Caenorhabditis elegans: one gene and its partners. The protein of the gene in region 1 purifies or fractionates together with the protein of each later gene. This does not show direct contact. Each region holds a gene or a part of one and is shown in the gene's direction. Other genes may lie near its edges. The genes, in order: ctnb-1, hrg-11.4 and F54D11.4.

What was found.
Region 2: the proteins of ctnb-1 (region 1) and hrg-11.4 fractionate together in Caenorhabditis elegans (co-fractionation; one large-scale study listed by BioGRID). This does not show direct contact.
Region 3: the proteins of ctnb-1 (region 1) and F54D11.4 fractionate together in Caenorhabditis elegans (co-fractionation; one large-scale study listed by BioGRID). This does not show direct contact.

Annotation. Positions count from the first base shown.
Region 1 is NC_003279.8:5,577,900-5,581,655, forward strand, and holds the start of ctnb-1 (Beta-catenin-like protein 1 N-terminal domain-containing protein), read left to right. Parts: upstream 1-1,766; coding exon 1,767-1,823; intron 1,824-1,865; coding exon 1,866-2,426; intron 2,427-2,470; coding exon 2,471-2,674; intron 2,675-2,718; coding exon 2,719-2,827; intron 2,828-2,890; coding exon 2,891-3,135; intron 3,136-3,386; coding exon 3,387-3,505; intron 3,506-3,555; coding exon 3,556-3,756. Other genes in the region: klp-15 (Kinesin motor domain-containing protein), read right to left, coding at 1-162, 210-997, 1,129-1,282.
Region 2 is NC_003284.9:423,749-427,504, reverse strand, and holds the start of hrg-11.4 (VWFA domain-containing protein), read left to right. Parts: upstream 1-1,869; 5' UTR 1,870-1,879; coding exon 1,880-1,976; intron 1,977-2,315; coding exon 2,316-2,505; intron 2,506-3,436; coding exon 3,437-3,679; intron 3,680-3,756.
Region 3 is NC_003283.11:4,614,170-4,617,925, forward strand, and holds F54D11.4 (DEK_C domain-containing protein), read left to right. Parts: upstream 1-1,981; 5' UTR 1,982-1,997; coding exon 1,998-2,215; intron 2,216-2,263; coding exon 2,264-2,574; intron 2,575-3,424; coding exon 3,425-3,489; 3' UTR 3,490-3,608; downstream 3,609-3,756. Other genes in the region: Y61A9LA.10 (Bms1-type G domain-containing protein), read right to left, coding at 514-1,544, 1,591-1,639.

The DNA of each region.
Region 1 (3,756 bases):
CCATCCAAGTGACTCGAGCTTTCTGGATTCGGCGAACAGAAATGCAGCTGCTCTCGGGATGATTCCTTCCTCTTCACCATTTCCTCCTCGCATCGTGTGAGTTTTGCCACTTCCGGTTTGTCCATAGGCAATCAATCCGACGTTGTACCCATGCAGTGACGACTGAAATTATCAATTTTCAATTATTAATATTATATTTTGAAACTAACCCGAATGAACTCCTCGACGTTCGCGAACACTTCCTTCTGCGAGAAGACTGGCGTGAAAACCTTCTCGAATTTGACCACAATTCCAGGCTTCGAGCCTTCATTGATTCTGATGGTATCGATAGCCGGATACTCAATTGCAGAACTCGAGGCGTCGGCTTCAGATTTGATCAACGGCCGAACGCGAACAGCCACACGAATTTGACCGCGTAAATCGACAACATCGTTGTGCAACTTTCTCAACTCAGCTTCCTTTTCGTTGAGCAGATCCCGGAGATCGTTGTTGTGCACACGATAATCCTCGCACTCCTCCACTTTCGCCTTGTTGACTTCTTTCAGCGTGCTCAATTGATCTTGCAGTGAAATCAGCTTGCGATCCGCTCCTTCAAGTTTGCCATCCAGGATTTGGATCTTGCTCTTCTGATGTTCAGCAAAGTCGGTAGCCTCAGCCATCGCACTCTCGAGCTGCGCAATTTTCTCTTCAAGAAGCGCCATCTTAGAAGGGAGAATAGGCTTCTGTGCCACTGGTCGGGCTCTTGTCACCGACGGCTTCAGGGAAGAAGTCGCAGTTGAGCGTTGAGTGGATGGTGGCGGTGGACGACCTGTGCGAAGTTGTCGAAACGTAGAAGCTGCCGTCAGTGTGGAAATACGGCTCGCGGTGGATTGCATCGTTGGTATGGGACGGGAACACGACGCTGGTTTGGCCATCGCTGATCGTTCTGGCAACGATGCTCTACCAGTTGCAGGCGTTGTGGGGGTAGGCAAACGAGACGGAGGACGACGAGCAGCGGCTGAAAACTCGTAATTAAAGTAGTTGTTAACAAAAAAGGTTTTAAACAAAAACAAAAACATGTTTTATTTAGAAGTGTGAACACTTTGAAATCACGAGGAAGTTATTTAAAAACACAAATGACAAATTTACCTCCAATCGTTATTCCTCCAGGAGCCGACTGTCTTGGGATTGTTGTTGAATTGGCTTCTTTGGTGGATGGCGCGGCAGCACGTCCTCTTGTGATCTTCGGCGTTGCTCCGATAGTCGACCGAAACAGGCCACTTCTTCTTCGAGCGACATTCATCGCGAAATTTGGGACAAAAATGAGGAAATCAGCCCCTTCATTGACATTTTCCCGCTCAAAGTTGAACTCCGCCTCTGAAAATTCCCGCCAAATCGAATGGATTACCGTAGTCAACTACGGTATTAGATCAAAAATTTATATCATGTTGAGCTCATCCAGAATTGTCGGATATAATTATTTTGTTGTCAAAAGGCATAAAGAATGCCGTAAAAATTATTTATAACTATAACACAGAAGGCTTATCCATAATTGCACTGATATCAGGTTATACAAACAAATATATAAAATGCAGGTCTAGAAATTATAATGTGAGCGACACTCCGATATTCCGGTGCGCGCCTTGTTTACCGTATATCTACACCAAAGTAATTGCAAAAAAAAAATTTGAAAATATTTGCTTGCGAAAATTTTTATACACTTTCTTCAATATTTTGATTTTTCTGTGGTTTTTTAAAAATATAGGTTGGTAAATGATTGTTTCCAGATGACTTCTATCGATGTAACAGAGATTATCAAATCATCGACATCTTCTTTGTATCAGGTAAATTGATATTAAATTTTTTTGATTATAAATAGTTTACAGCCAGCAAGAAAGAAATCTCGTTTTGACGATAGTGCTTCTTCTTCATCTCAAGCTGGCCAGCCAAAACCAGAAGATATTCTTGCGGCTTTGGAAGCCGATCAATCAAATTATGTGGCTCTCGACGATGTGCAAGTTAAGAAACTTGTTATTCAACTTGACAAAAAGATGCGATTAAATCGAGAACAAAGAGTTAAAAATCCAGATGATGCTCAGAAATTCATGGAATCGGAAATTGAATTAGACAAGGCAATTCAAGAAATGCATAGTCTGGCTTCTCAACCAGACCTTTATGGATCGTTTGTTGAAGTCAACGGAGTTGAAATTCTTCTTCAATTATTAGGACACGAGAATACTGATATTGTGTGTGCAACACTTAGTCTCTTGAGAGAACTTACAGACGATGATGTGATGAACGAAGGAGAAGATGGAGCAGCTGAACTTATTGAAAGTCTTGTGTCTGGATCGATTATCACAACTTTGTTAGCATGCGTAGAGAGGCTCGATGAAAGCGTCAAAGATGAAGCGGATGGCGTCCATAATGCACTCGGAGTTGTGGACAATGTAAGAAAAATCGATATTTGAAAAACAAAACAATATATTTTCAGATGATTGGTTTCCGCGATGACATTACTGAAGAATGCGTAAAGCACGGATTCACGGTTTGGCTTCTGAAAAGATGCTTTCAGAAAGGTGCATTTGATGCGAATAAGATGTACGCTTCGGAACTTCTTTCAGTCATATTGCAGACTTCTGATACTGCAAAGGCAAAGCTGACAGAGAAAATTGATGGCATCGATATTTTATTGAGAGTGAGTAGCCAAACAAAGTATCAAGAATAAATTGAACTTTTAAGACCATTGCTGTGTACAAAAAGAACGATCCAGCAAATGTAGACGAACGAGAATACATGGAAAATCTATTCAACTCACTTTGTGCCGCACTTATGCATCCGGCTAATCGAAGTACGAATTTTTTTGAATATAAACACCAAAAAAATTGCTCTTGTTCAAAATAAATGTTTTCAGAAAAGTTCCTCGACGGAGAAGGTCTTCAATTGATGAATTTGATGCTCCGAGAGAAGAAACAAGCAAGACAAAGTGCTCTGAAAGTTCTGAACCATGCAACATCAGGAGACGAGGGAATCGAAAATTGCAATAAACTTGTCGAAATGCTCGGATTGAGAACAATTTTCCCGTTATTCATGAGAACACCTTCAAAGACAAAAAGAAAGGATACGACACCTGATGAACATGAAGAACACGTTTGTACGGTAAGATTTATGTTGTGATATTATTTTGAATGTTTTAGCTTCAAAATTGGACTGGTAAATCGGACTTTCGGTTTTTCTCCTTTTTTGAACAAAAATTGAGTTTTCAAATCTGCCTTGCACTTTTTGATACTTATCGAACATATAATTAAATTAAAAATCGAAAAATCTATTTCTACGAATTACATTTTACAAAAAGTGACTAATTTATATTGTAGGAAATGTTCTTTTGATGATAAATAATAATTTTTTAGATTCTCTCTTCACTGCTGGCAGCATGTTCGGAGAACCACCGTCAACGAATTGTTCAAAAATTTGTTGAGCACGAACATGAGAAAGTGGACAGAGCTGTGGAGCTATTTTTGAAGTACAAGTGAGTTGAAGCACATTCCGTTATGAAAAATAATTTTATTTCAATTTCAGAGAAAAAGTTCAACGATTTGAATTGAAAAAGAAGCGTCAATCACAAGAAGCTGGAACATCAGAAGATGATGATCCAGATCGAGCATATTTGGATAAACTAGACAATGGTCTCTACACGCTTCAACGTCTTACTCTTATACTCGGTGAAGTGGCAGTTGGTGTTGAATCGGCTCGTCTCAGAGAGGAGAAGCTTTTCCAAAT
Region 2 (3,756 bases), on another chromosome or scaffold:
AGCTGTGATTTTTGTCTGTAAGCTACACCTAATCGCTAGCTGTATATCTCGACGCATCTTTCGTTCTGCAAAACTTCTAGTCGCTTCTTGTCTTGTTTAACCTTGATGGGAAATTAAGCCGGCTTTAATTTCCTTCTTTCTTTCAATCAACAATTTCCCATCGCTTTCTTTGTCTCTTTCAATGTTCCACAGATCACATAGTTTTAATGGTTTTTCAATGTTTCCCTTCTTACCGTCACACTACTTTCCAATATTATTCATCTTAATTTTATGTCTACCACTTCCAATATCAATCTTGCCCACCGTTTTCTCAATTTTTTTTGTCAAATTTAAACTTTTCTCTGCTTTTCAGTTGTGCTTCAGCCCTTTATATGCCAAAAACTTTTATTCAGAATTTTGACATACAACCACGTTTATTTCTTTTTATTTGAATGTTTTGAGAAATAAAGTTTTTTTTTTCAGAAAAAAAATTTTACAAAAAATGGTCAATTTTTTATTTAAAAAATTGGCACACAAAAATAAAAACAGACATGATTGTAGGAGAAAATTTTCAGACTTTTCAAGAAATTATAACTTTTAAAAAGCTATTTTTGGAGAAAAAAGCTCCCTATTTTAACAATAAAGTTTTGAGCCATTTCACGCGTGCACCAAAAAAAATGTCTGAGAAAAATGTCAGGGGTACGAGTTGAGTTTTCCTTTTCAAATTTTTTGTAAAAAAATATTCAGAACACTATCTAGAGCGACAAAAAACTTGGTTGGTGAAAACTCGTTCTAAAATCTGGCACTGAAGTTACTTCCTTCCGCTAACAACTTGTCAGGTGCAATCTAAGTTTCGACTAAAAAAAACAATTATTATTTCAAAGCTGGATAATTTATTCGAATTTTCGAAATATTGCAGAACTGAAAAGAAAAGAAGTTTTCCATAAACTTGGATTGTCAGTCAAATCTTGCAAGGACGTACACGTTGTAGGTTTGCCTTGGAAGAGGTCGTCCACTTCAACATGCAGTCCAGTTATACTCACTAGGAAAGTAATTTAACTCACTTTCAGACTTTCAAATTGAATTTATAAGAACTTAAAGCGGGTTTTCATCAAAAAATAACAATGGAATATAAAGAAGTCGATTTGATATTCTCCGAGCACGTTTTCACTGCTTTTGTAACGTTTGCAACTATTACAAATGAGGAAGTTTGCAATTTTGTAATGCTTTTAATAAAGTCTAAAAATAGGCAAAACAATTTAATAAATTTTTTTTTTTAAATATTTCAGAATTTTTGTTCAGCCTAAAACGTCTTAACAATTGCCTCAAAATCTTTTTAAAGCAGTTTTATTTATACTTTTGCGGAAACTTTGCAATAATCCTATAAATAGCATAAATAAACATTTTTTAAAGTGAAAACAAAGTTTCATTGGTGGTTTAAAAAATTTATAAAGCTTTATAGAACGTTGCCAGTGTAATACAACTGTTAAAACATAACTCACTTGAATAAATCACATGAAAAATTGTTTGATTAATAAAAAAACTTGTAAGTAACAAAAAACCTGCAAGTTCTCGACTGTAAAAACAACAGCTGGAAGCAAAGTGGAACGCTTAACCATTTTTATTTCTGTTTCCCACTGTCTTTTCCAGAAGTTCCTGAAATGTAAACATTTTAAACTGAATTTTCACAACACATCAACCTCTGCTCTATTCGAATTCTAGATGAGAACAACTTGCCAATGGAAGAGTATAATCGCATTATCAGTGACAACTAATTTAAGAGCCTCAATTGGATAAACTAACTTTTTCAAACAAAAAAAACCTGATAACAATTTTATTTAGTTTTATTTAATTATTACATTAAGAAATATCTTCTAAATAAAGACGATTTTTCAGTAAAATGCTCAAATTTGTAATTACAAGTATTCTACTACTGCGGGTCTGTAGTGGAGTAAGTATTCCCAATAAAAGTCAACACGGCGAACTAACGAAAAGCTGTAAGTTTAAGTAAAAAACACGTAAAATTGAAAATATTGGCAAAAGTTTGACATATTGAAAAAACACAGCAGGCTTACTTAAAAATGTTTACATCATAAGTTCTGGTCCGAGTCACAACTACACGAAAGGTATTGAGCTCACTTTTGTGCTTCTAGCGGGAATTTTTATTTGATGAATTAAATAACCAACTAAGAACAATTTTTTCAAGAGTGAATTTGGTGGAAACGCCAGTGGATTCTCTTTCTGGCTAGGCCAAGCCAACACATTTAATAGAACCTCTTCAAATCTTTACAGAAAACGTTTTTTGACCAGTTTTAGCCAGAGGGATTAAATTTCAGTGAATTCGAAACTCAAACAACTTGTTGCACTAAATCTATCGGAACCTTCTCAACGGGTTCAACCTACCTTCTCTTCAAGACCGAAACTGTTGGATCAAACCTCTCCAGTGACATGCTACAATAAGTCAATTGATATACTGCCTCATGACGGTACTGCAAAATTTGGTGATTTAGTGGAGAGTGATTTCAGGTATACATTTTTAGTAGGGAATATTGTAGAAAATCGTGGAGTGCTCGGAGATTGCTAACCAGCAGTTCTAAAAATTGAGCCTGTGGGACATTTTCACTCAGTGTTTTCATTAAAATTTAGGAATAGAATCTGGAAAATGTTAATTCTAGTTAAAGGTGGAGTGGCGCCAGTGGGGAAATTTCTTTAAAACACGCCTATGGTACCAAAATGACCGAATATCATGATAAAAAAATGCAAAAATTTTTTCTAATTTTAAAATTTGAAAATTGAAAAAATCTCAGTTTTTGCCTAATTCCGATTTGAGTTTACGCCAATTGGATTTGTTCGATGGAGCGCACTTGCACGTTTTAATTTTAATTTATTGTTATTTTGTCATATTTTTCACCAATTTTCCATGTTTTCAATGTAGTTTTGTCTGAAATTTGACGAAAAAGTCAAAATAAATGCTAATTTTTGATTAAAAAGCTAATTCACAAGCGTGAGTCTGTGAAATCTGTAAATTCAAGTTCGAAATCGTTTAAATGCATGCATTTTCTTTCAAAATAACAATAAATTAAAATTAAAACGTGCAAGTGCGCTCCATCGAACAACTTCAATAGGCGGAAATTCAAATCGGAATTAGGCAAAAACTGAGATTTTTTTCAATTTTCAAAAAATCATATAAAATTTAGAAATTTTTTTTGAATTTTTTAATCATGATATTCGGTTATTTTGGTACCATAGGCGTGTTTTAAAGTACTCGAAAAAAAATACTCGAAAATTGTCAAAAACGTGAAACTTGTTGTTGATAGTAAAATTGCCATTTTTCATTTTTCCGGTTTCTATTTGCGATTTAATAATAATCTAAAACTCTATCTGGATTTTCATTACGTTATTCGAGAACCAATACCAGATTAATAACATGTTTCATAATACATACACATATCTTCAGTGCGACTTGCTCCGACACTTTCACTTTTTACGTCGACAATTTTATCGAAGAGTTCTTTGTAATTATCAATACACTCGACGCCCTCAATCCGCGGGCAACAGTTTATAATCCGATTGGAGGCGAAGTGTCCACATGCAAAGATATCACCACGGACGTCACTCAAACAATTCACCTTATCTGCAACGGAAAGAATGTTCACGGAACTGGAGCGTATACGGTTCAGCTCTCTGCAGATTTGAACAAGTGAGCACACAATTAAAACAAGATGACCCAAATTGTGAAAAAAAAATCAAAAAAAGACTCTTGAAATCTTATCTCAT
Region 3 (3,756 bases), on another chromosome or scaffold:
CGATCATTCAAATTTTTTTCTAAGATGAAAATTTTCCAAAATTTAGCAAATTTTTTTTCTGCAAAAAGCTCTTAAAGTCATCTAAAATCTGAAAAATCTGCAAATTTACAAGAATCTAAATTTTAATTTTCGTTTTTTCAATAGATTCAACTATTTTTGAAAAAAAACCTTAAATTTTGGTAATTTTTACTCTTTCTAGAAGAAATATCTGTTTTTTTTCATCAACATAAATAATAATCTGATTAAAAATTGAATTTTGCCGGTAATGAGCTGAAATAATTCAAAATTCGGAATATCTTACATTAAAATTATGAATTTTCAGCTTTTTTTTCTAAAATTAAAATTTTCAAGACTTTTAAGCCATTTTTGAGCATTTTCTGTGATGTTTGAACAGGGATTAATGTTATTTTGAAATAAATTTTTCCATATTTATCACTAATTTTTAATGAAAAATGCTGATTTATTTAACATGGTTTCCCGTCTAAAATTGCGCTGAAATCCCGAATATCTTACATTAAAATTGTGAGCATTCTTTGACTCAATATAAATCGCATCCTTATCATAAATGACACCTCCTAATCCAGAAAACGGAGCATACACTTTCCGCTCTTTCTCATTCAACGCTCGTTTCTTAATCTCATCAGGCAGCGGACACGGATCGGGTAGACTCGTGACATTACTGATCCTCATATCACCAACACCTGGCACATGAATCGACGAATGATTCTTCAAATGAGCACCATGAACCCATCCATACATGGCAATGTGTCGATCGATGAGTGGATCCGTTCGAAGAGTTTCGACGTTGGTAATGTCTTCGAAACGATCACAAAGAACGTATGGATGAGCATCTTTCCACACCATCGGACGGAATTTCATGACAGAAATGAATCTGCAGAGGTTATGGATCTCATTATATTTATACTGTCCATGCATCATTCCAGTCATGTAGAAAAGCTTCGCGCCCTGGTAGAGCTCCGTCCAGAAACGATGTTTCAGAATTTTCTTGGTCTTATTGACACGTGAGATTCCATCGAGAAGATCCAAATGATTCAATACTCCCATAATACGTGGCATTCCGTGCACTTGGCAAATATTTAGAAATTCAAAGGTTTCCATTTCAAATCCATACGATGCATCGACCATTAGAAGCACCAAATCTGCGACTTTCGCGATATCAATCATATGATTAATATCGTTTTTGACCTCAATGAACTGTACACGACGTTTCTTTCCAGTTACAATTGTCACTGGACCATTGATCTCTCCGAATCCATCACGGAGGTAATACTTGACAAGACCCCGGAGAAGTGTCGTTTTTCCGACTTTACTCGGTCCAACGATTGCTACAATGATTGGTGGTGTTTCGATGGGTTTTCTGTCCATCATCAGAACATGTTTCTTCTTTTCATTGAGATCTGCAGCTCGTCGAATCGCTTTTCCAGCGGATACGGCGGAGTGGAAAGTGAAAGCTTTCAGATTGTTTCCCTTGACTCTCGGCTCCTTCTCATTTCGCTTTTTTGCTTTTCCTCCAGTTTTGTGGACTGTAAACGTGAAAAATAGTTAGTAAAAAGCTTGTAATTGACTTACCATTGTGCCCTTTGTTCTTTTGCCCCTCGAACGGAGCTGGCGGCGGCATTTTTGTTACCTAAAATAGTGAAATTAATTATTTATTTGATTAAAAATATTTAAATTTTATTTAATTGAGCAAAAAATCTAACACTTTACGGAAAAATCTTGAGGAAAACGGAAGAAATTATATTTCGTATTAAAAAATAAAATAAATTGGTTGCTGACGCGCACGGCGTGCGCGTCAGTGTCACGAAACGCGCCAGCATTTTTTCCGCGAATTTTTTCGTTTTTCTCCTTTTTTTCTCGTTTTCTATCGATTTTTCATATTTTCAATTGAAATTTATTCGAGAAAATTAATAAAAATGCCCTTTTTAAACACAAAAAATCTAAAAAACACGCTATTTTCCCATTTTCAGACTTTTGTAATGGACTTATTGGATATGGAGCTCGACCTCGGCGTCGAGCCCACTTCTAGCCGCATCACGCGTAGATCACAAGCCGCCACTTCAGTTACATCACAAACACCAAAAACTTTGGGAAGAAAAAAACAAACGACCACGCCAGCGAAAATCGAAAGTTCTACTGCTTCTGCTGCTAAAAATCCAGTAAAAGAGGAAGAAATTGTTCATTCAAAGCCGGAGAGGTCTCTAATAATTCAAATTCTTATATTTTTCCAACATTTTAGTTTCAGAACGCCGAAAAGATCACCAAGATCCCCATCTACCGAGAAACGTGAGAAGCGTAACAAGGCCAAGAAGAGATTCTCACCATCGCCAGTCACCAAGAAGCGCAAATCAATTCTCACTCCTCGTCCAGCAGTTTCCAACGACGCTACTTCAATTCCCGCCAGAAAGATCAAAATCGCCTCCCAAGCAGAGTTCACCGAGAGTCTTAATCAGTTCAAAGTGGCGCTAGAGGGCCGTGGGATCACTGATTTCGATATTCCAGAAGACTGGAAGACCCCGACGCCTTCCGACACTGTTAATCAGATCATTACCGAGCGTAAGAAGAACCTTTTGTGTCACGGCCTCCTGGAGTGTTCATAATTATTCGAGCGCGCTCGCGCGGCACCTCATGATCTACAGAATTCGCGGGAATTCGTTCCGCGGGGACAGCAGTTGTTGCTATTTTTGGCTTCTATAGGAAATATTTTTGATTTTTTGTTTTATAATATTCTTGAGAAGCATCTTCCGAATTGAAAATGTGTAAAATTATGAAATTTGGCCGAAAACTGGAAGTTTTACAGAAGGAAGCCACTACAGTTTTTAAAAAAATGTATCAGGATCGCCAGTTTTGCGATTTATGCGTCGTAAAATATGTCATTTTGTAGAGAATTAAAAGTTTCATAAGAATTTTCGTTTGAAATTTTAAAATTGTTTTCATTAAAAACTTAAAATTGAAGGAATAAGATTTTAACCTAAAATTGTTGATTTTTTGAATATTTTTTTATTAGAAATTAAAGAATTAAAATTTCAAACGAAAGTTCTTATGAAACTTTTTAATTCTCTACAAAATGACATATTTTACGACGCATAAATCGTAAAACTGGCAATCCTGATACATTTTTTTAAAAACTGTAGTGGCTTCCTTCTGTAAAACTTTCAGTTTTCGGCCAAATTTCAGAATTTTACACATTTTCAATTCGGATGATGCTTCTCAAGAATATTATAAAACAAAAAATCAAAAATATTTTCTATAGAAGCCAAAAATAGCAAAAAACTGATGTCCACGCGGAACGAGTTCCCGCAAATTCTGGAGTTCGTGAGGTGTGCAGCGCGAGCGCGCTCTAATAATTATGAACACTCCAGGAGGCCGTGTGTGAGTGTATGTGCCTAATCATGTACCTTTTCAGTCTCCGGAACCCTCCCTAACATCAGTGATTCTTCTTCGGCAGCAGCTCCTCCTGTAATGGTTTAATTACTTTTTTAAAACACACATATTTGTTTCCTCTAAAATATCGAAAAACCAATACCACACCATGTCATTGCCCCCATTCCCCCCTCCCCGTTCGCTAATAAATGATAGTTCAAAGGTCTCACCACGAAGTCTATTTTAATAATGTTTGAATTTTGAAAAAATTGATCTTAATTTCAAAGTAATTATTTTTTTCAACAAAGACTTCTGATTTCGCGGCGAGGCCTAGGCAATTAAATAATTAATTTAATTTTTAAAAAAAATTAATTT